Neodiprion lecontei: one gene and its partner. The protein of the gene in region 1 purifies or fractionates together with the protein of each later gene. This does not show direct contact. Links are inferred from orthologs where the notes say so. Each region holds a gene or a part of one and is shown on either strand. Other genes may lie near its edges. The genes, in order: DNA repair protein complementing XP-C cells homolog and histone H2A.

The links.
Region 2: the proteins of DNA repair protein complementing XP-C cells homolog (region 1) and histone H2A purify together in Homo sapiens (affinity purification with mass spectrometry; 3 studies listed by BioGRID and IntAct, counting the BioPlex papers as one, with this or other methods). This does not show direct contact. The link is inferred for Neodiprion lecontei from reciprocal best matches to the Homo sapiens genes XPC and H2AX.

Annotation. Positions count from the first base shown.
Region 1 is NC_060265.1:3,466,074-3,479,712, reverse strand, and holds DNA repair protein complementing XP-C cells homolog, read right to left. Parts: upstream 9,121-13,639; 5' UTR 8,886-9,120; coding exon 7,152-8,885; intron 7,074-7,151; coding exon 6,868-7,073; intron 6,779-6,867; coding exon 6,517-6,778; intron 6,402-6,516; coding exon 6,233-6,401; intron 6,118-6,232; coding exon 5,732-6,117; 3' UTR 3,532-5,731; downstream 1-3,531. Other genes in the region: lysoplasmalogenase-like protein TMEM86A, read left to right, coding at 1,290-1,453, 1,545-1,738, 1,977-2,092, 2,252-2,362, 2,460-2,555. UniProt on the Homo sapiens protein: Involved in global genome nucleotide excision repair (GG-NER) by acting as damage sensing and DNA-binding factor component of the XPC complex. Has only a low DNA repair activity by itself which is stimulated by RAD23B and RAD23A.
Region 2 is NC_060262.1:40,432,151-40,442,054, forward strand, and holds histone H2A, read right to left. Parts: upstream 4,821-9,904; 5' UTR 4,683-4,820; coding exon 4,661-4,682; intron 4,575-4,660; coding exon 4,367-4,574; intron 3,752-4,366; coding exon 3,571-3,751; 3' UTR 3,200-3,570; downstream 1-3,199. Other genes in the region: ribonuclease Oy, read left to right, coding at 1-53; UBX domain-containing protein 1, read right to left, coding at 625-677, 754-934, 1,055-1,286, 1,494-1,745, 1,926-2,087, 2,147-2,200, 2,350-2,405; uncharacterized protein LOC107223647, read right to left, coding at 6,882-7,081, 7,241-7,630, 7,872-8,078, 8,298-9,904. UniProt on the Homo sapiens protein: Variant histone H2A which replaces conventional H2A in a subset of nucleosomes. Nucleosomes wrap and compact DNA into chromatin, limiting DNA accessibility to the cellular machineries which require DNA as a template.

The DNA of each region.
Region 1 (13,639 bases):
GTGTGATATATATTATGGCTGTTCGATGGCTTCGCCAAAAGTTCCGCATTGTGTATATCTATATGTACACAATCGTTTTCACGTTATTCGAAGAAAAACACGAGATAATAACAGACGAACGATATGATACAACATTTTTAATTGGCGATGATAACTTCGCGATCGCAGTAAATATTCCGATTAACTGGGTATAAAAATTAATTTTCTTTGTTCAAAAACCACACGTAACCATATCCGCGTATGCGTTTATGTATACAATATAGTATTGTATACTTATCCAAAAATAACATTGGCACGTGTAGGAAGTATATCTCCAAATTTTTCGTCTCCATTTTCCCCCGGTATTACATTTGCCGAAATAGTACACTGATGCCTATCCTATATAATCGAACCCTGCACCTCACGTAATTCATATATTAATTAATGTCTGAATCACAAAATTAATACATCAATTTTAATGTTTAGTTATTGCGTAAATTTATACATAGACTCAATATTTGCACGTGAAAATTCACGGTAATTATAATCGCACATTGTACGTGCACGCGACGATTAATTTGTTTACAAAAGTAATTGGCGTAAAACGTTGTGAAATTTCACGCGGTTGTTGTTGTGAATTTCAAAAAATTTCAGCTCTCGGATAATATTGCGCACATCTTTGGATGAAAATATACCGAATTAACACACATCTTTGACTTAGAGAATATTAATACTAATTTGATTTATGCTTTCGCGCGCTCTTGAATATCACGTGCGCGATCATCCGCGTTTATAACGACGTTGCAGTTATAAGTAACATCAGCGTAACGAAACATCGGGGAAAAATAGCTATTTCGCAAGCTTATTGTTAGAATAACCGCACTAGTCGAGTTTGCAAATTGAAATTAGTATTCCCTTCAATTTCAGCCAATTCAGAAATTTCTAAACAACGGTTCTGACCATTATGATGTATCTATAATTGTCAAACAACTTATATGCCATCGCGAATTTAAAATACTAATATACTCAAGATCATTGCAAAGTTACATTTAAATAATATTAATTAATTTTCTATTTATTGTTTAAGAAATTGATTTTTTTTCTTCAAAATCAGCGTATTTTTCGCAATGTGAACATAATTCTACAAAGTAAATAGCAATCAGTTTGTCGGAAAATTTTACCCTTATTTAATATATTTGCCAATTATCTGATATGCAGTATATTTCGAGAAAATCGTAAAAAACGAAAATCAAGACTATAGTGTAGAAATAGGCGAATTCGTTAAACAAACATTTTTACATTTGTTTCAGATAAAAAGTGTTGGTCCGAAATTAGTACCATTTTTCAAAAGTGTATCTGTCTACTTTGTTCTATTAGCAGAGCAGCCCTCCCTGCTAACTGCCTGTTTTAAATGTTTGCCGATCATCAGTCTTATCGTTTTTATTCTTCTCCATGGAATTAACTTGTCTGAAGAGTGAGTTTGATACAGCAGTAAAATGCAAAAAATATGTCATTTTTGCAACTGTGAAACGTTGAATAACTTTTCATTCTTTCTCGCTGATCAGATATGCATTTCCTCGTCGGATAGTGACTGGCCTTTTATTCAGCTGTATAGGTGATGCCCTGCTGGTATGGCCAGCCTGCTTTGTTCCAGGAATGGGAATGTTTGCTATTGCTCAAGTCATTTATATTAAAGCCTTTGGCTTCGTTCCATTGAATGGAGTGTTAGGAGCAATATTATATGCCCTATGTGCAGTTGGTAAGTATATCAGTTGTGAGATTATGAATTTCCTATTACTCATAGTCTGACTTTAAATGAAGTGCTTAATGCACAAAAACTTTGCTGATATTATATTTCAAATATTTTCTCATCTCAACAGAATATGTTACCCACTGGCATAATTGATCGATCCATATAAAAGACATTGCCGACTTTCAATTTCCAATTTGTAAAACAAAGTGTGATCCAACATTTTTACCAAAGTTTATAATTACAGCTATTTTTCTTTTGATGCCTGGTCTAAATGGTGTCTTGATGATTGGGGTTCCGTTGTATATAATACTTTTAACAACAATGGCATGGCGAGCTATAGCAAGGGTGCAATTTTTTGAGGTAAATTGATTCTGCATTAACTGTATTAACACTGACATCATTAGAGTGTTTGCTAATTAGCTGTACGTTTTCAACGCTTTATATTCAACGTAGTTCCAACATTAATAGGCTCTTCCATGCCTTTATAACAAGGATGTTGTCCTTTTGTTTCATCAACAGGAATTATGGACCTGGTCAAAAATGTGTAGTTGTGCCGGTGGTATATGCTTCGTTATATCAGATGCTTTGATTGGTTTCCACTACTTTCACAGTCCTATATCGTATGCTCAGGTACCAAAAAATAAGGAAATGGTTGCTGTTACGTAACTCTCAAGTTTGCACGGTTCGTATCAACAGAAATATGTACATACAAGCATATATGTTTCAGGTATTTATAATGATTACCTATTACGCAGCTCAGCTTGGAATAGCTTTGAGCGCTGTGGATTCAAGAGACAATATTAAACCGCATAAGCAGCGGTGAGGTTTTTCTTGGGTAATATATTAGTTGCTACAGTCGTTGAAGTGTTGACTGATTCTTACAATGGCAGGAAATCAATTATATTCGTGATCTAGAAACGAATAGAGGGTAACAAGGGAATTTCGTATTCTGGAATCTAGGAGGTGCATTATAATTACGGGATATGGATATCAACAGTATAATTAGTTTAGCACGTTTTTAGGATTAGGTTAAATACGAGTCTTGTTTGCTGGTCGTATTTAGGTCAATTTAACTTTACAACTTGAAATTCTGTATTAGGAAATTAGTATACTGGGTGGTTCGTATTTCGTACGAAGCTATGTAATTTTGCGAATACCGTTGTTTGAGTTAAAAGTGTAACAAAGAATAGGCATGAGTTTTCGTTGTTATGTATCAATGAAATTATTAGTCAACAAAGAGATATAGGTGGGAATATTCTGTTTCCAAGCGCCAGCTCTGTGATATATGGTAGAAACGTAATTCTGAGATAACTGAAACATTTCTTTTCGTTGGTATTTATTTATCTTTTCCAATTGGAAATTTACGACTGTGGTTTAAGCTTCTTAGCTGATGTAAAATTATTTAAATTACTTCTTATTAATGAATTGTGAAACCGAAGGCATTTCAATCAAACACATTACTGGTCGTGGCTCATGTAATGTTCGTGGTACTAGAGGTGGCTTATGTAACGTCGCAGTGGTTCAATTCAATTGAACAACCTTAAACCGTTTGCTACCCGTCATATAAATATGCAATCATGTTACTTTATGATTTTACAAGCAAATGGTGTACTAAGACTGATAATGAACTGTTCAGGGTCGAAATGATATAGCATTTAAGTGGCCGCATGGATCATAAGTTGAGGTGTTCGGAGTAGCGTTCAGTTATCGGATCTAGTGATGCCTTCAATATGGAACTCGACAATTTTACCTAAATGGTGATATTTCGGCACATGTATTAGGGTATTCCAAAACAAATCTATGTTACGTTTCTTTTTTTTTTTTTTACCTCCAGCTCTACAAGACTGTTGGAGTAAGTTCTACTTATCATTGATCGATATTACACTGTCTTACGATTTTACTACAAACGAGTCAAATTTCGCGATGGTGTCACCTTAGTAAGGATTGGAAGCTTTGTTTGGATCAAATATATCCTTGTTGCTTTGATTTATGAAATACATATGATTAAATCGAGCGGCTATTGTATTAGATAAACTATTGTGTTACTTTGATGTAGATGGGATAGAACTCATTACAGTATAAAGTTATGTTTCAATTTAAAAAAGTAAACCATAAATATTGTTCTTCATAAGCAATTAGAGGACAAGGCAACTTTCATGATTGGAACTCTGACGGTTATTCCATTTTCTATTGAATAAGATAATTTACCAAAAGCGGATTCTACTTAGAATGTATTAAATGAGCTGTTTGTTAGCCAGAATCTCAAACTTGTCACTAAAATATTTTTCTATCTCTAGTAATATAGATCTCTAAACTTAATATGTTATATAAAATTTAACACATAAATTTTACTATACATCAACTCAATATTCAAACTCGAAATTATTATTATATGAGAAAATATTGAAAGAAATAGTCGATTTGGTCTCCCTAAAATAGAAACGCGTACTTGTTCAATGCATGCTCAGTACTGTGCATATACATAGATTATCAAACAGTTTGACAATGTAGTTTAAACTTGAAATTCATAAATTCATGATTAGAGTCAAGAAGCGTGAAAGCTCATTGAAATATTTATTCGGAATCCGAATTCCGAGTATGTTAATAAAACATTTATGCTTTCAGAACTGTCAGTTATTCGAAATAGCTGTGAAATAATTCAATAAGTCTTTATATCAAGCATTAATAACAATACACACAATCAGTGTCGACGGTTAAATTATGCTAGTAAGAATTGATGGTATTTGGGTTGTTACTGGCTTCAAAAACGTGCTGTATTAAACAATTTACTTTATGTGATACATGAACGCGATTCGCAAGCGTTACTCGATTAGATGATATTTTACTACTTACAAGTTTATTAGGCTGTGTAAACGATTGATGACGTATTGCAGTTAGTCTCGTTATTATATTAATTAAATATAGAATGTGTAAGTATGTGTATTTGTATAGGGAAATATGAATAATTGTTATTAACTATTCTAGACCGAATATATAAGTGTAATAAAATGTACACTCTTTAGTCTGATGTTTTCCATTTCTATTACGGTATTTATTTAAAACATCATTTCTATTCACGTGGAAAAATTTCCACCGTGCCTGCATTATTTTCAGCCCAAAAATGACATTTGTTTTCTGAATTACCATGTGTCACAATACGTGTTAAAGTTATAAATATACTACTTAGTAATGAGGCAAGAGCGGTTTTTTAAAGCTATTCTTGTCGTTGGGTAATTTTTATGGAGACGTGGTAATATGAGAAATATATGAGGTGTTAGTGAATTACATGTATTTATTTGTTTAATACCAAGTACATGCACACAGCATGTCAACTGTATCAATGATGAATTCAGGAAAGATTGTACAACGGACAAAATATTACTTAATTTCGCATAATTGTCTTAGAATGAAAGTGTTGAGCATAATTCTAAGAAAGATATAGCCGTTATATTGTAAAATCTGTTTGAAATTCAAGCTAAAAACAAATCAGAAGAATACCAGTTGATATTATTGTGCTTATATAACTACATAACTGGAACAGGCAGCACTCGAATAATTGGCATTCAATAGTGATTGATGCTTGCGGTGTATCTTCAAACCACATTGGTGAAAAGAACAAGAAAACATTCGTGGCGCATGGTTCTTCAATACCCAGCTATTTCTATACATACTTGATAACTGTGTTTTACAAACTATGAGTTATAGAAGACGTTGAGGTAAAAAAAAAAGACCATTTTTAATGATATTTACAGACTATGACAAGGTGAGGGTAAAAAAATAGAAAGATCAAAACATATAAGGGCCACAATATCGAACTTTTAAAGTTTTTAAAGTTTAATTTATAGAATTTAACAATATAGAATGCCGAAGTACGGAAAAGTAATTTGTGACTTTTAAAAATACTTTGGCGGTAAAGGTGTGGAGGAAAATAATTGAATTTTTCTCGTAATCTTTGAAAAGTGCCGCAACGATCAACGAGCTGACACGTTTACTTATGATCTATTTTTTTTTGTCAACCTTTGTTTTTTTCCCACCAACTTTGGTTTGTTTTACCCGTTTGTTCGTTTGCTTATTGGATGTGCTGGATTTTTCTTTTTCTTCGTCAGCATTAAAATCATATTTAGCTGTTAGTCGTTCTCTGATGAAAACAGCTTTAATCAACTTCCTCCAATTTCCGTAAACCCTCTTCTCGTATTTCTCTCTGGCACGCTTATCTGCCTCTGCTTGTTCCACTTCCCAAGCCTCCCGTAAAACATCTTCAAACTCTTCACAAACAATAAATCCATCAAAAGCAGGCAGCGCCCCATGTCCTCCGAAATTGAAGCCCACCACAGCTGGAGCACAATCAATGTCCAACTTTCTTGCAATGCGGTTCAGTGCTGGAACTGGATAGAAAAAAAATACACATCTGACGTTATTCCTGTACAGGTATTATTTTTATACCAACAGTAGCCAATGACATACAATACGGATGTTGTTCTATATTAATAGATTACTCACGCTGAATGTGAACAGTTCCTTTAGGCAACATACACTGTTTGAATAAATCCACATTTCCGTATTCATTCCGAGGCACAATGCCATCCTTGGCTTCTGGTGGAACGTACGGATCTGTCTGCCATTTTCCAAATACTTCCAGAGACTCATCCTTCAGCCTGGCACCTGAAAGCTTTCCATCAACACCGTGTGGTCATTGTACAAGAAATCCATCGGGATGTGTAGGCATGATTATGCAAATTGCAATCAATAAGATAGCGCAATTGTAATAACTGAACATGATGTACCTTATCATATTTTGGTCTTGCTTTAACAACTTTGTAGCAATTCTCTCCTGGTTTCACTACCCTAGCGCTTTTGATCCACGTTTCGCGGGAGCGCAATGTGTGAACACAATGACGAGAGTATATAGGCTCGCCACGAACGTAGCCAAGTGGAACGACATCCGGCGGGTAAAAGGCTTCAAATTTGAGAAGATGTCTGGGCAGAACGTACAGAGGATGACCTTTGCACTCCGAAACTGTCTTTGGTAGGGGTTGTTCCAGTTCCCTGTAAGAAACAATGATTTTTCATTTATTTCTATGGAACATTAATCAGATAAGTATCATACATATCAAAAAACAGATACAGTTCATTACTTTTGCTTGAGCATCTCATCCTCTGCTTTTGTTAAGGCTGTTTCAGGTTCTTTCCAAGGAGTGTGAGCTTCCAGCCACCACTTTTCATCGATCCGTTGTTTGCGGGTCACGGTCAGCCAGTGGGGACAATATCGGCGTGTTACATCCTTGATTCGACCCTCAGAATTCAAGGCCATGACGTACAGCACTGGATCCGTAGCATTTTTCTACAAGTATCAAAGCGGTGTCTTACTGTTACCTATTTGCAGATTCATCATTTATCAGACCAAGAGAATGATATTTACGTATAGCTCGGCAATGCAATGAATTTTTGCATCCGGTACGCTGACGCTTATCCAATTTTCCTCGCATTCAACGTAAACTTCTGCCCACATATCCCTTGTGTTTTTCACTTTCTTTGGCTTCTCATTATTCTCTTCATCATCTTCATCAGACGATATCAGCTTCCTGGCGGTTGAGCTTCTCCTTGAACCTGTATTTGACTGTTTTTTAATTTTAGATACAGTGTTTTTATTCTGACTGCGAGAACGCTGCTTGGAAGCTGATGCTTTGTGCTTTGACCTGTGAGTTTTTTCAAATGGTTCATCATCCGTATCCTCCTCGCCATCCTCATTCTCCTCCTTATCATCATCCATTTTGTATTCATCATCATCATCATCATCGTCATCCGTATCCTCATCTTTTGGCCAATGCTTGACAGCTGTTTTTGCCCGCGACCTTAAACTTCTTCCACCTTTTTCAGTCACCTCTTTGTCGTTTTTCACTTTATCAGAGTTCCTTTTGCCCTTCTTGTCAACGGGAATCGCGGCAGCCACCGTTCTTGATCTCAATTTTTTAGCTGGTGGTTTAACATCCTCCGCAGAATCTGAATTCGTACTTTTTTTTCTTTTTAGAATTTCAGCTGCCCTTCTCCTGGCCTCAGTGGCTTTGCGAAGCCTGGCTGATATATTTCCTTTTTCCGTTTCTTGTCCAGGAATTTTCGTTTCTTGTGATATTTTTGGGCTTCTGGTGGCCGTTTCTTTTTTCGGTTCCTTTTTTACCTTTGTATCTTTCACTTTGGAAGACTCTGGGGCGATGAGCTGCTCTTTTGTTACTTTAAGAGCCGGGGGTTGCAGGGATATAACCAAGCGACAGGTCAGCCCCAAGGCTCTTAGCGTTGCTACGTAGAGTAATACGAGTTCTTGATAATTGTGGATCTCTTTGTCTTTGAGTCTCCTCAATAAATTCAGCGTCGTAATGCCGGACTCTGGCTTGCCCGTAGGAAACGTAAACACACCTTGAAACCATTTGGTGATTTTTTCAAGATAAGACAGATCAACCCTGCCTTTTGGGTAGCAGTTTTTTGGTGCCAATTTTAGTGCAGCTGCAAGTAATATCGGATTGTTAATTTGCTTGTTTACGTAAAAACCGTGCGCCATCCAACAGAGGAGTCCTACTTTGTGTATCAATACTTGATTGGACCTAAGCTGTTGATTCAACTTCTTTTTCAACAAATCTTCAAGCGTTTCCTGTTTCTTCTTCTTCCTCTGATTGAAAATCAGTTTCGAATCGACCAGGGTTATTTTTACCCCTTCTTTTGGAATGCTGTAGTTAGACGGAGCGGAGTCTTCAGCTGGTCCTTCTTCGTCCGGCTCGTCCTGATCTTGCTCCGCAGTTGAAGCTGTCGCTCCAGTTTCTCCCAAGAGTAGAAGATCAGCTATTTCGTTGGTGAGTTCTTTTTTCACTGGTTTGGTATTTTCAGGTTTTTCCGCGCTGCTCTGATCAGATTGAATCGCTTGACTTTTCTTCGTCGCCTCAAGGTTCTTGAGGACCTGAGCCATGAGGTCATCATTGTTATCGTGGGATTCATTTTCGTAATCAAAATCCGACTCCTCCGAACTTTCGAGCTTCTTTGGTACGCTCGCTGTTTTTCGAGTAGGTTTTGTGAAAAACGGTGATATTGACTTCAGCTTATCCGGGGCTACCATAAACTCGTTACTACTGTCCGAGCTCTCGCTGTCAGATTCATCAGCGTTCATCTTTCTCACTTCAGCAACACCCTTAATAACGAATTTCAAACAAAGACTAACCTCGAAACCCGACACTCACAGTCCACGTGACCGCCATAATACGCTCGTCGTTTGTTCGCGCGCGCGCGCGCAAAAATGTCAAAGGTTCTCCAGGTATAAAAGTGATTGCATAATATTATACATCACAGTACGGGGAAGGGATATTCGCTGGGTTCGCAACTTGTAAAACTGCTGGAACGTTGAATTATAATCAGCCTAAACTGGTTAGCGTTTCTCCGAAAAACTCTGATGAGACCGGTTTGACCCTGAGAAATTTTCGTCTCTCTCTCTCTCTCACTTTCTCTCTACTAATCACGTTTCAACATCTAACCAATAACAACCTTGTTGTATTGTTGTGGATAACACTGATCTGGTATACGGGTGATCGGTGGTGGAGCAGGTTTCTTACCGACGACGACATGAGAAATTGAGCGACTGTTGCTTGGCGAGCAAGCGAAAAGTTTAGTTTACACGTGTTTTAACAGGTATCACTACTGGTATGATGTTGATAATACAGCATCACGGCTCCACGTGGTGTTATCATGAATTTTGTGTTGGATGAAACGCGTTACAGATATCGTTCGTAATTTTCTATCATGCATCATGAGTGTGAAATGGGCATTTTAGATTCCGAATTTATTAGTTTCAGATAAATATGCATGAATTTTCCCGTTTTTATTCATTGTTTTATAATACACGGAATAATTAAAGCTCGGCCAAAATCACACACAATTAATCGATTTCAACGAATGCAATATGAAATCGATATTTCTTTTCAACACGATTTCTAATCATAAATCTGTCTGCGTTTATCCTGCAATTATAGCAAAACATTTTTTAGTATATATCAATTAAAAAATATAACTGATCGGGTGCATAAGTGATTCCGTATATTGGAAAGATTTCATTGTGCAGGGGGGAGAAAGAATCATTCTAACACTTTAATTATTTCAAGCTCATGTTTTGAACTTTGAATTAGCTGTTAATTTGCCACGGATTACTGAAAGTTAAAGTGCTCTAAATAATATATTGAACAATTCCACCGCGCTTAATGCATTATAAATTTCGACTTTACAGATACTATACTGGACTCCATACGAGATGATGATAGTTATTTGTGTGGAACCCTCAGATGAGCCGGTGACGTATACGCGAAAGTGGCAGGGCATTGATGGATTAGTTACACCTGTACCGCAGTATGACTCTACGCTGATGCTACTTTGCATAATACATATAGCTACACATCCGCGGTGTTTGGGAGACGCGGTTCCAACAAGGAAATGCCTCACAGTTTGCAACACGCATTACCGGGATTAAACAGTGATAGATCTGCAGGAGTAATAGGGATCGAGGACTTATTTCCGAGGTATCGAAGGAGCATAATATCCTTGTGTAGGCGAGGCTTGACTGAGCTCCAGAAGAACGGAAGCCAATCTGGGAACGGCTGTGCCAGCTGAAACGCTGCAGAGATGCTTCGGGCGTCGCGAGGCCCTGAGAATAGACGTCGCGACGCCCCCCCACCCCCCACCCCGAACACCGCCCAACCACCCCCCGGCACCCTCAGCCATCCTCAGCTCACCCTCCTATTGCCTCCTGCAGCTAAACTGATTATAGTCGAGCGCACGGCCCCTCCGTCTGCTTAATTAAATTAGAAACTTACAATCATCTAATGTTATGTGGACCTTGCCGCTTACTTTTGTAAGTACAACTGCAGGGCGAATTTACACCACCGAGTGGGTGGTCGAGGCTCTGTGTAGGTGTTCTTGCTTCTTTTAATATCGCAATGCTGTTCCGTAACGGTATGTACCTACTTAACCGTGAATCACTTTTCAGCGTAATTTATACATAATAATACATAGAATATGTACAATGCAAGGCATGCGTAACTTAATCGTTGATTGATTATTAGTTTTTTCATGCACAAGCAATTATTAGTAGACATTTGTGTAATTTGATTTTCATTAGACGATTATGTCAGAGAATATTTCGATGGTAAAATTGACTCCCAGCGATTTTTCATGCGACACGTTTAAAAATTTATCCTCACACTGTGCGCGATGCCACGGTCGTTTGATTGACTGCATCCGTTGATTAACGAACATTATTGGCATATACAGATGCATCTGCATTGGTGGGAATATCATTCAGGTAGCGCTGTTCCGTTGCGAGCTTTTATTTCACCTCTTGTTGCTCGTGTTTGCTTTCAGGCCGGCAATGCGGCTCACAATCAGAATTGAAATACGTTTCTGCGAACGGTGCTTATATTTTATACAATACACGTGTGCGTAGGCATGTGCGTATATATGTAGGGGTGTATGTAAATGGATTTTTATATCCCCCAACTTTCAGGTAATTAAAAATTTCTTTATTTCGTCGATTAAAACGTTACATAACGGTGCGTTTGTGCAATCCAATAACAATATTGTGTTTTCACAATTACTAATTACATTTTGCATTATCTAATTGTTTCAGTAGAATATAACAATGTTATAACCGAGTCATCCGGAATCATGATTATTTAACCGTCTTAATATTAACAACAAACATCCTGTGTGGACTGGAAACCGGGATGAATAAAAAAAAAAAACCAACTCAACCGTGCTTGGAACGAAGTAAATTGTAGACGTATAGCTCGATGAAGATGAATGTATTTCCCGAGTAGAAATCCGAACGGCGTCCAGAAATATTAAATTGTATTCCTACGGGGCGTCAAGTGGAGGGTGGAGAGCAGGAGGCGAGGCACCTAACCAATATTTAATCAACTTTGGAGGAGAATATTATTCTCCGGACAAATCAAGGACATATGTAGCAGACCGCCGGCGTCCCCTTTTCCGTTATTTCGGCGTGCATGTGCGAGCGCGTCTGAACGGCAGAAACGGAGCAATAGCAGCTAGACAAGTGTAGAGAATTTTCGTGCGGGGAACCCCGGCCGTGGCGTGCGGCGTGTGCCGCGGATCCCTAGGGAGGGGATTCCCTCCCCGGGTTACGAGGACTCGGGCAAGCGCAGGATACACGCGGGAGCGGCGATCGACTCGTGAGAACAAGTGCAATACAAGTGTCGCACCGTTCATCCCTTGGGATAATACCGAAGGTAGAAGAGCCAAGGGAGGGGGCGGGGGGGGCGAGGAGCGTGTTTCCGTCTACCTTGTATACGTGCAGTAAAAAATTTTACGCTTTTATTTATCGTCAATTTATCGTCGAGCAAACAACTAAAGCGAGGAAAATTTCATTACAGAGACCTCGCGCATCTTATACGGATGGATATATACTACGGAACAATGAAAGCCTCGCCTCGTATAGTTTATCCTGCAGAAGATACACGATCAGGTATTTGTCCGTTGAAGATAGGCATACGTATGGACCTATGTAGGTGTACGGTTTGGATCGAAACAACGCCGCTCTTCGTGAACAAAAGTTTAGCTCAATTATTGACCGTATCGAACGTCGAATCTCCCGGGCGTACCGGGAGATCTTGCCCAATTGGTTCTGTACAATTTCACCCCCCAGTCGCAACATCGGATCGTTCGAAACTACCTCTTGCAGGTCAACGGTACGGTTCACTGATTTTTAGTACTAAATGTATTGTACGTGGAACGGTACATGCAGTTATTTATCGAAAGTTTATGCACTGTGCACGACCGGTTTTATCACAGGGTTTCTATAAAACTCGGATCAAATTTCGCCGAGACGGAAATATAATAAGAACCAGTAAAAAGGAGGCGCAAGAAAATTATTTTATGCTTTTATTTTCCGACTGAATCAAAGAAGAAGAAAAAGAGAAAGAAGAAGTAAAAGAATAAGAAAAAGGCGGCAGGACTCGGGAGTGGATCGCATATAAATCATTCAACTCAGTCTTCAAATTCTGTCAATTTGTTAGAGTAGCTCTGGCATTCTGGGAAAAGAATGAACTTGGGAAATCGATACACATATCCCTCGAAACGGTGCCGGAGCGTGTGTAGATATGCATTCAAACTACTCGTAGTCCGAATACGCGAAACAAATTTTAGACATTATTCAGTGCATTTTATTAATTCTTTTCCGCACAACACGGAACCTTTCACGGTTATACTATACTTCGGTGAAAGTATAATGTACGTCAGTGATTTCGACAAATCGTCAAAAACCGAGGCTTCGTTAACACGTTTATTTATCGCATACGCATTGAGATGTGAAAGTTGTCGGATCTCTTACAGCCAGCAGTGTTCGATTAAAAAAAACCAATTCGGGTTCTCCCACGGAGCTTGAATTTCGCGACAATACCTACAGATGTAAACAAATTGTGTCACTAATTTACAATTTCCTATACGACCACGGAATCGCGCAAATGACGAAGGACCGCACGTGTAAAAAAAGTACAGAGTGACCGTAGTGTCGAATGATCGAAACTTAAAACAGAGAAAGTTCAGCCAAGTTTAAAAATTCTGAATCTTAATGACCGGATTGTACATGCCGAGGTAAAGTGGCCTAAGTAGAATAACGACCGAATGCAGAAAGACTAGATAAGCGGAATCGTTCCGGTGGTTCAATACAAAGCAAAGGTTTTGGGTACCTGGCCCAGGGGTCACTTACTACAATTGATCGTAAAATCAAGGGTTGTTTGTTCAAAACATTAGCCGGCTTCGCCGTCGGATGATAGCGTTCATTTTACCATGATGGTGGTCGCGCACCTCCGGAGAAGCCTCGCCGCGTCGGCTCGCTCCTCCATCACTCCGTTTGTCGCTACG
Region 2 (9,904 bases), on another chromosome or scaffold:
TGAATTATCCCAGTGCAGTTCCATCCAATTACAATGTTATATTAGTAAAATAGTAATCAATATGTTCAAACTAGGCAAATTGAAAATTGTATAATGTATTATGAGTGTAATTTTGTCTATTGCCATTATACAGCAACCCAGAAATATCTAGCAACTTAACTAATGTAATGTTATAATGTAACTCGAAGAAAATACGATGTTTCAGTGTCAAGTTTTGTGACAGGAAACTAGTGACTGATAAAAGCATAACTTATTTATTTTTTTTTTTCTAGAAAAATTATACATATTGGAATAAAAAAAAATGTACTGTATCTATTATATGCACTTTTTCAAGTACCCAAAGAGCTGTTTGGTGAACAGGTAATCCAAACGAGTTATCTCATGCTCATACATTATTACAAGAAATTCAAAATTGATTGATGTGCCAAGTTAAAATCCAGTTACAGAATGATTGAATGTACGTATTACAGCAACGTTACAAATAGTGGTCTATGAATGGTATGAATAACAATTTTATAGTATTAAAGTGCTTTAATTTACATTATTTTATGTAGTTAGTATTAATGTTTGTCAAATTGTAATCGCATTACGCAGTTTATAATGCCATTAAAACACTAATTTCTGCTACTGTAATTCCGTTTTCTTCTGTACTATCACAACAGCTGTCGGTACCAAGCCTAAAAATAATTCAATACATAATTGGTAACAATTGACAAAACGTACTACTGGCTTCCCATACAAAGATTCACTTACCTAAAATGTCCAATGGTTTTTCGTAATCGTCCTCTGTGAAAATTTTCCGAGGAAATGTAGTCATTAAATTAAACAACCCCGAACCATCAGTTCTATTCATTTCAATATACAATCGTACAGCAGAAAGCTGTTCCTTGGATCCAAAGGTCTGTGTTAATGCCTGACCATTTGTTAGTCTGATCTAAAATACATAATTCAAGCTGCATTTTAATCAGTATCGTGTTTCATAAATAACACATGATGTTATTTAATATACTTGTAGTTTCAAACAAGCCAAAGAGAGAATCAGTGTATCAATCACCTGCAATTTTGTTTCGCTATAATTTTTTTTTGGACCCGTTGATACGACGGTTGGCGCAGCAATCGAAGCTACAGGGGAAAGTGTAACACGTCCAGCGTCAGAGGCGGCTCTAGCACGTCTTGCTGCTTTGTCAGCTTCGATTTGCTCTCTTACTCTCTGCTTTGCTAATTTCTCCTCTTCTTTTTCCCTTTTCCGTTGCTCTAATAATTTCTTCATTTCCAAGTCTTCAAGCCTATGAAATAATAAAGTACCATCACATAAATTAACAATACAACGTTGATGAAATTCCAAGCTAATTAAATGCAATTAAATCCAATTCAAGTCGATAATAACGAGCGTTTTTCTATTAAGACCAAAGTCATTAGGATCAATTTCATCTCTCTTATATCAAATGAGCAACAGTTCTTTAACCTACAATAAATAAACTGAAGATACTTACTTTTTCTTGGCTTCGACCATCTCTTTGCCTGAGCGTATCCTCAATTTCTCCTTTTCAAATGCTTCTTTTTTCTCCAGTTCCTCTCGCTCTTTTCTCTTTTGTCTCATTTTTTCTTCTAATAACCTCAATTGCTCTTTCTTCTCCTCTTCCGTCAGTGGCTTCTTCTCTTCCGTGCTTTCAGAGAAACTGTCATGTCCGGACTTTGTGGCATGAAATTCCACCTCTAAATTAGATTTGAATAGTTTCCCACATCTGTGAAAAAATTCCTTTGCATGTTCATTACGTACAAAGTGACCTGAAGGGCCATTGATCGAAGGAACTCTTTTCTAATTAATCTTTTGTATCATGCATTCTTGAAAAGATGAGGAGATAAAAACTAATCAGACATTATAATGCACGAAAATAACAATTTATGCAACCATTAATACTCACACATCGCATTTAATGGATTTGGCAGTTGCTGCTGATTCATCTTCGTTACTTGCATCAGCGATATTTTCCTGTGGAGATTCAGTTGCTGGTACGGGTATACTGACAGGATTTTCGGCCATAAGCCCAGGGGAAGGTTCAGCTTCATCGGAATGAGCAAGGAGCCTAAAAAAATTTGCAATATTTAATCAGTAGGATGAAGACAAATTGTTTTTCATTCGTACCATTCCATAGCCGGCTCGACACCTTTGTTTCCGGTAATTTGTAGGGCTCGCTCGCTGAAAAACAAATACAGAAAACACACGAATGAAAAATACAGTGATTATTTAACTGAGGGTGGTAGGGTATTTAAAATCTGCAAAAATGATTCCGGCTTTTTCGGAAGAGGTTAGGAATCACAAGATGATTATTTTCTGTCAATACTCACGCTTTTGCCTGGCTGAAACCCATATCTACGAGCATCGAAACGTCTGACGAAGACATCGCTGAATTTTTAAGTGTACAATTAGTGGCTAGATATAATATTACTAACGGACGCTGAGTTAAAAATCATATGTCATGTCGCACGAACACTTTGACATACAGCTACAAGCCACGAACTATTAAAATGGTCTGCTAGCGGAGGCGGAAGTAGCTTATAGGCATAAAGCGTGCTCATGATTGTACCAATGAAGAATTGTACTTTGGTTTCGATATTTTCGTCTGAAGAATATTGCGGACTGTTATTAGTTATTCCTGGTATTACAAACTTCACGTACTACACGATTGTGAACGGTTTCTACAGTCCCGACCAAAAGTTACAATTTTGGAGCCTTGAGTCAACAGAGAAACGTTTTGATCAATTTGAATGAATGGTCGATTCGAAGCTTGAATCTGATTGTAAATTAATTCTTTATTCGGTTCTTTGAAAATTTATGATGATCAAACCTGATATCCCTGGACTTAAAAAATTGTGTGCTGCATACGTCAAATAATAAATACGAGAGTATAAGCTGCATGCTTGTTGATGTTATAATCAAAACACTCTTTCTTGAATATAGTCTACACTCTAAATTATCAGAAATAATTGGGCTACTGAAATTGCGGTAAGATGAAAAAGTGACGAGACAAACCAAAAACACTACACAATTATTGAAACCGCTTGTCATTTTTCGTTCGGGTTATTTTTCCATGTCAAGATATCGCTTATGTATGTACAAATAGGTACAATTTTCAAGAAATGTTCCCACCAATTCGTCATACTGTGGGATCAGTTATCAGGTCAATAAAAGTTAGTATTATTATGATAACGCTGCAGGCCATTTATTGTTTGTCACCTTTGATCTACTCACTTATCAAAATTGAAACAAAAAAATTCGCGAAATAATACAATGGCAAAAATTAATACATAAATATAAAAAACAGTTTGAAAAACGAAGGATGCCGTCAAACATAAGCATCATACAATGAATCATACACATAACGCGATTCATTTATTCAATACTGAAAAAAAAGAAACAAAATAAATTCAACTTGCAATTTTGTTCAGTGCTTTTAAACATCTGATCTTGCCAATTTTTAGTGAATGTAAATAAATGTGTTGCATTGAATTGTCAGGTTTTATAAGGTCAAATGTAAGTTCGTGCTCGCACTAATGTAATATCTTAATTTAGTATTCTTGAGAGGCCTTGTCTCCCTTGCCAGATCCACTGCTACTTCCAGTCTTTTTAGGCAATAAAACTGCCTGGATGTTGGGCAGAACACCACCCTGTGCAATAGTCACTCCAGAAAGCAGTTTGTTCAATTCTTCATCATTACGAATGGCTAGTTGGAGGTGACGAGGGATTATTCTGTAAAATAAAACATAAATATGGTCAATAAATCCAATTTCCTGAAGTAAATGTTGTACGTCTGACTGCAGGATTTTTCAAATATCTGTGTGTACGCATAGTTCAGTTACATGAAATCGGGTACTGTTTTCCCAAATCGAGAATTCCATTTAGAAAACGTGTAGATTGTCATAGTGATTTAGGAGAAGGGGGAGAGTTTGGTTGGTGCAAAAACAAGTTTCTTTGCATTAGGTTGAAATGGAAGTGTTCGGCCATGTTCACGTATAAATACATTCATACATACACCAATTTTATCACACGAATTATTACACACTGTACTGTTATTAGGATTAATTTCAAAGCAGTTCTTCATGTGTACAATGTATGTTCAATGTATCTTCATAGGAGACAAATGATTGTACCGAAACAGAGGAAAAACACGGCACGCGATAATAACGACGCAAATTCTGCTCGATTCCGTAAGAAATGTTAAACCTACTTTGGTTGAGATTTATCATATTATACAGTGAAGAAATTGTAGTGAATAAGAGAAAATGAAGGAGTAATCTGTGGGTTGTCTATACTTCTGAACTATGGTATTGTGGTTGTGAAAATAAGGGTGCTGATAGGACTAACCTCGTCTTCTTGTTGTCTCTCGCAGCATTTCCAGCCAACTCGAGAACTTCGGCGGCCAAATATTCCATGACCGCAGCTAGGTAAACCGGAGCACCGGCTCCGACACGTTCGGCATAGTTTCCTTTCCTCAGGAGCCGGTGAATACGACCTACGGGAAATTGAAGCCCAGCCCTGCTGCTGCGAGTCTTCGCCTTTCCCTTGGTCTTGCCTTTAAAAATCAATAAGAAACTTTTAATGCGTCCTGTTGTTCGAGAATCTGGCTAATTATTTCTCGGAAGCTTTGATACTACTCACCTCCTTTACCACGACCGGACATATTTCGAGATTGATTCTACACGGATAGAAAGTCTAATCACAACTGCAACCTCTTCCTACCGTTACCGAACAGCAAATGATGTCGGATGTCACGTATTTTGGCGCCCACTGTCTTGATAGCGCTCGTTTGCGCGGGAAAATTTTTTGACACGGAAGGCTGTGGAATTCGTATTATTTCATTCCGACAGATGGCAGCACCATACTTTGAAAACAAAAAAGCATGAGAAGCGTTACCTCATTGGTTAGTATCTAGAATTAAACCAATCGAACGTCGTCCTTGTCCTCTCCTATTTTTATGAGACTCGCAAATAAAACGCACCATTTGAAAAAGCTTTCTTGTATTTATGGATACATATAATTTATGCTTCAATTATGGCAATTGGAAGATTTAAAAACAAAAAAACTGACTACATAAAGCGTCGACCGAAAATATACATATTATGTACGGTGAATTACCTTCTCGACTGATTTCTTTTCATAAGAATTTATAAGATAATTTCAAAGACTACTTTAATATTTTACAATTAACTTTTAATAAAAGGGAGATAAAGGAGGCAGACAAAGTGTTTTCGAACAGTTTACTTTTAGGCTCTTGTTCTGGCCAGAAAGGTACCTGCAGATTTCTACAGATGCCTTAATATTACACAATACATAAAAATAATGATATTTACAAATGTAGGCACTCAATGAACAAAACGTTGAAAACACAGACAAAATTGATTTGCGGGTTATAACAGGGAAGGCGGGTAGATATGATGCTACATTATACGGAGCAAGGAGATAATCAATTTAGAGAGCACAATGAGAGATTTGAATCAGTACGCCAAATTATTCGAAAATGTGAAAACAAGAAAGAAAGAACTAAATAGGACCCAGGTGAAGTATAATAATTACGGTCTGCCAAGAAATGGATGATATTAAATAAAAATGTTATTTCACGTTTACTCATATTTTTTCAAGGTCCGTTCAATACATGGAATGTTAAAGGTTTAGCGGGTAACAAGCATTTTCATGGAATGTACTCACGCAATTTTGTGGTAAAAGTCAAGTCATTTTTTTTTATAACCTTGTTTTTTGTTAAGTACCTCAACATCGTTTTTCACTTCTTTGAAATTCACTGGCCATTGCAGACATTATTATTATTATTGTAAGTATTCAACATAGAATTGAAGGAGGTTCTTATTATTCTTATTCAATGGTTGAGTCTACAGTTTATACAAATTGCAATACATGTGTTCGAAAAATTATGCGAATTCCAAATAATTATTAGCGTTTCAATTATTACATACGGAAAATATTGAACCACAAAAAGTGCCCGTTTCGAGAAGACACTGGTGTACTTACAACAAATTAGAAGTATCTTTCAGAGGTTCATCAAATGGCGAATGTTCGATAAACAATTTTACTTCAATATAAAAGATATTCGCATTGTTTAAAAATCAATTATCTTCGATTTTGCAGTTATTAAATTGAGATCCTTCTCTTCTATGTTTATCTTATCAATACACATGCTACTAATCAGTAAACGTGCGAATCATATGATAGAATATCCTTTTCAATATTTAAATACAAGTCCACATTACAGAGAATAAAATAAGTTACATGAGTTCTCTCTATATTCAATAAAATATTATACAAATTATAATTATTTATCTTATACCTTGGGTTAAAGAGCCGTCAGTAAAAATTATGAAACACTAAAACTTCCTTATTAATTGAAGAGAAATTTGTATTTTGATTCGTTTTCTTTACACTTCATTTTTACACGTTCGTATCATATTGATATGATTACTTACAACACTTTAAACACTAGTCCCCTCTGATTTCATACACAATATTCAACATGTCTTTCAAATAGCATATTCTAATCAGACTCTTTTTACGAGTTGTTTTAGAAATGGTTAAGACACGTTTAAACTCCATGTAACAATCGCTATGTAAAAGAATGCCTAAATATCGAATAACTAAAATTTCTGGATTTAGAAAAACTACCAGTATAGCTTTAATTCATTACAAATAAAGTAAACTGTGATAAAAGACTAAAAAAATGCTGTACACTTGGTCAATGTAATCTTACATTTACTTATCTAAAATTGTTAAAAAATTGTTTGTCGTTTCAACTATTTAGATACCAACGGCTCTCTTAACCCGTCGATAATATCACAGATGAATGAGTTTCCGTGTTGTGCGTCGCGTATTGCTACCTCAGGGTTCTCAGAAGAGCGTTAATTCTTTCTATCTGCTCGCTGAGGCATCGCCTCTCTGTCTCAAGGGCGGAGCAATTGGACAATAAATCGTATCTTCTTCTTTCTAGTTGGATTGCCTCTGATCTCAGATTATTTGTCCGTGCTGCTAGTTTCGCCGTTTGCGCAGCTAAGACTGTTCTCTCCAACGATTTTTCTATAAAAAAAAAAATACAAAGAAAATAGAATCAATTAGAAAAACATATTGGCCCACGTTGACGATATCGTATGCATTTTTCACATAATGGATTTCAATTATTCACATTCGCAATGATTCTAAAATTTAAGCTGATTGTTATAGATAATAATTACGGACCTTTTGAATATTCCATGTATGCGATCATGGTATCTTCGATACCATCCCACCTCGATTTATCCTTGTCATCTTTATCATCAATCGAATCGTCAGCCTGACAAATCTCTGGTATTTTGCAATGTTGCTTAACGCCATTCTCTCCAGGTGTGGGTAGGACAGAGTGGAACCTTGGTACTATATTTGGAACCAAAGGTGGTAACGGTGGTGGTCGCTCTGGTAAATGTTTTGATTTCACTCTGTCCAGTAGTCGCATTTTCTGCGGTGGTCTTGGTAACAATGGTGGATTTCTTGAATAAACTCTGGCAATTCTTTCACAGTAAGCTGTCACTGTGTTGACACTTTTCCGTTTTTTCCGATCCTTGAGAATGTATTGCCAGCTTACTTCTGCTTCTGTAATGTTTTACACATTGTTGTTAATGCAAAAGAAACAAAGTAATCCAGATTCTTAATCATATTCTTTATTACTTTGTTGCAGATCCGACTGTGATTTTCCATTCAAAGGAAAGTATTTAATTTCTTACTCTTCACCAATGACGCTAATGTGTATGATGATAGTGCTCAAGGGAATAATAAACTATCATCACATGTTCTTCCGTAAATACAAAAAAAAAAAAGATGACAAGTATATTACCGTCTCTCTTGGTTGGAGGCATAACATCAAGCCCGAGAATATTGAGGAACCCAGCTTTGCCTACAAAATCGGGAGTTTGAAGAAGCACATCAGGATGTTCCCGTGGAATTGGTAATAGAGATTCAAGTATAGGTTCAGAGTCCAATGGTGGAACAGGTGGCTCTGGATTTAGCTTATATCGTTTTTCCACCTTGGAAAGTTCCATTTCTGTAAAGAAATTTTGAAAATCCACATTCTGTTATTCTCTGATTACTTTTCGGTTGTCTTGTAATTGAAATGATTGCAGACAAATGATACGTTTCAAGTTCAAGGTATCAAAACAAAATTCTAAAATTCGTTCATTTTTTAACAAGTTTTTAGACGCAAAGTTAGCCTTTGAAATCCAATTATTACAGATTATTTTATTCCATTGAGATACTATCTTACCATTTCTAGTGCTAAGAGTGGTCAGTCCGAACATGGCGAGGAAAGAAAGTTTCTTGGCAGGACATTGAAGCTTAGAAGGCGGCCCTTTGGTTATCCACAGATCCGAATCTTTGACATCTTCTTCACTCTCTGATTCAGAGCTTACACTGGCTCCGATGGTTTTCTCCCGTTTACGTTTCCTTCGTTTTTCAGCAAGGTCCAGCATCGATGTTAACTCTTTCGGTTTCTCGGGCATCAGGAATGATTTATCGTTCACAGTTTCGTGCTTGACTAAGGACTTGCTGAGATCAGGCACATTTAACACAGCCGATTCACACTTCACGGAAATCTCAGTCACATTATTGCACTTGTCGGTAAAGCAAAATGCAGATTTGAGTTCATTATTTGAGAAATTCAATAACTTTTCTTGATATTTTGGTATTTGCAAAAGAACATTTGAGACATTCTGGCAGGTGCGCAAAACTTCCTCCGATTTAATACTCTGCATCAATTGAGTAGTACCAATTGGTTTTTGCGCGACATCACTTAAACTGAACTTTACAACTGGTTGATACGGTAATGTGGACATAATAGTACTTTGATCCATCTGGGGTTTGACATCGATATCAGACTTACAATCTTTATCATTTGTATTTAAATTCAAGGGTTGAAAAGTAGGCCCTTTGTTGTTATGGTCATAATTTGACTGCGACAGTACAGGAGATTTATCCGATAACAATGTATTGATAGTCGAATGATTTTGGTTCAACAGTGTATGTCGCGATAGATCGCTTTCGTTTCTTTCATTATTTCCAGCACAATTCTTCTGTACATCTCTCTGGACGTTTTCTAAATTACATTTGTAATTCCGACTAATGGCTTTCGATCCGCTCATAATATGATTATTGTAGTAATTAGCATTCGCAGAAGTTTTATCATTAGTAATACAGTTATTATTAATATTTATTTGGACATCGGTTCGCTGAAGGTTGCCTGCTGTTGGCAGTGCTTCGCTTACATGGTGCGGCGTTGGCGGTTTCGTACTAATCGTATTATTACTAATATTTGTGGTAGTATTATGATTAATGCTTACATTAGGAATATTTAACTTATTAGAAGGATGTTGTTGTTGTTGTTGTTGCTGGTGGTGGTGTGGTTGTTGTTGTTGTTGTTGTTGTTGTTGTTGTTGTTGTTGTTGTTGTTGCTGTTGCTGTTGTTGTTGTTGTTGATGATGATGATGCGTGGAAGGGGGGGTGAAATGAGGTGGCTTATACAAGCTGGGGACATGAGAAACGGGAAGATGAGGATGATGAAACTGCGGAGTCGAGTATGGAATAGATTGGGAGGGGAGCTGATGATTCGTAGATGACGTCAATGATTTACTGACATTTTCCGGCAAACCATCTTGGATTGACTGTGTGGTGACCGCTTGGGTCGTTGAACACAAACTCGACGAGGATGACGACGACGACGACTTCACTACTGACTCTTGATGATTGATTTGGTTCGGGACATTTTGATTATGACTATTGAGTACGGGTCTCAATTGTGGTTTCGAAGTAGCGCGAAATGAGTCCTCAAAAGGCCTGACAAACGCCGGCTGAGGCGTGGTCGGCTGTGACAGGACA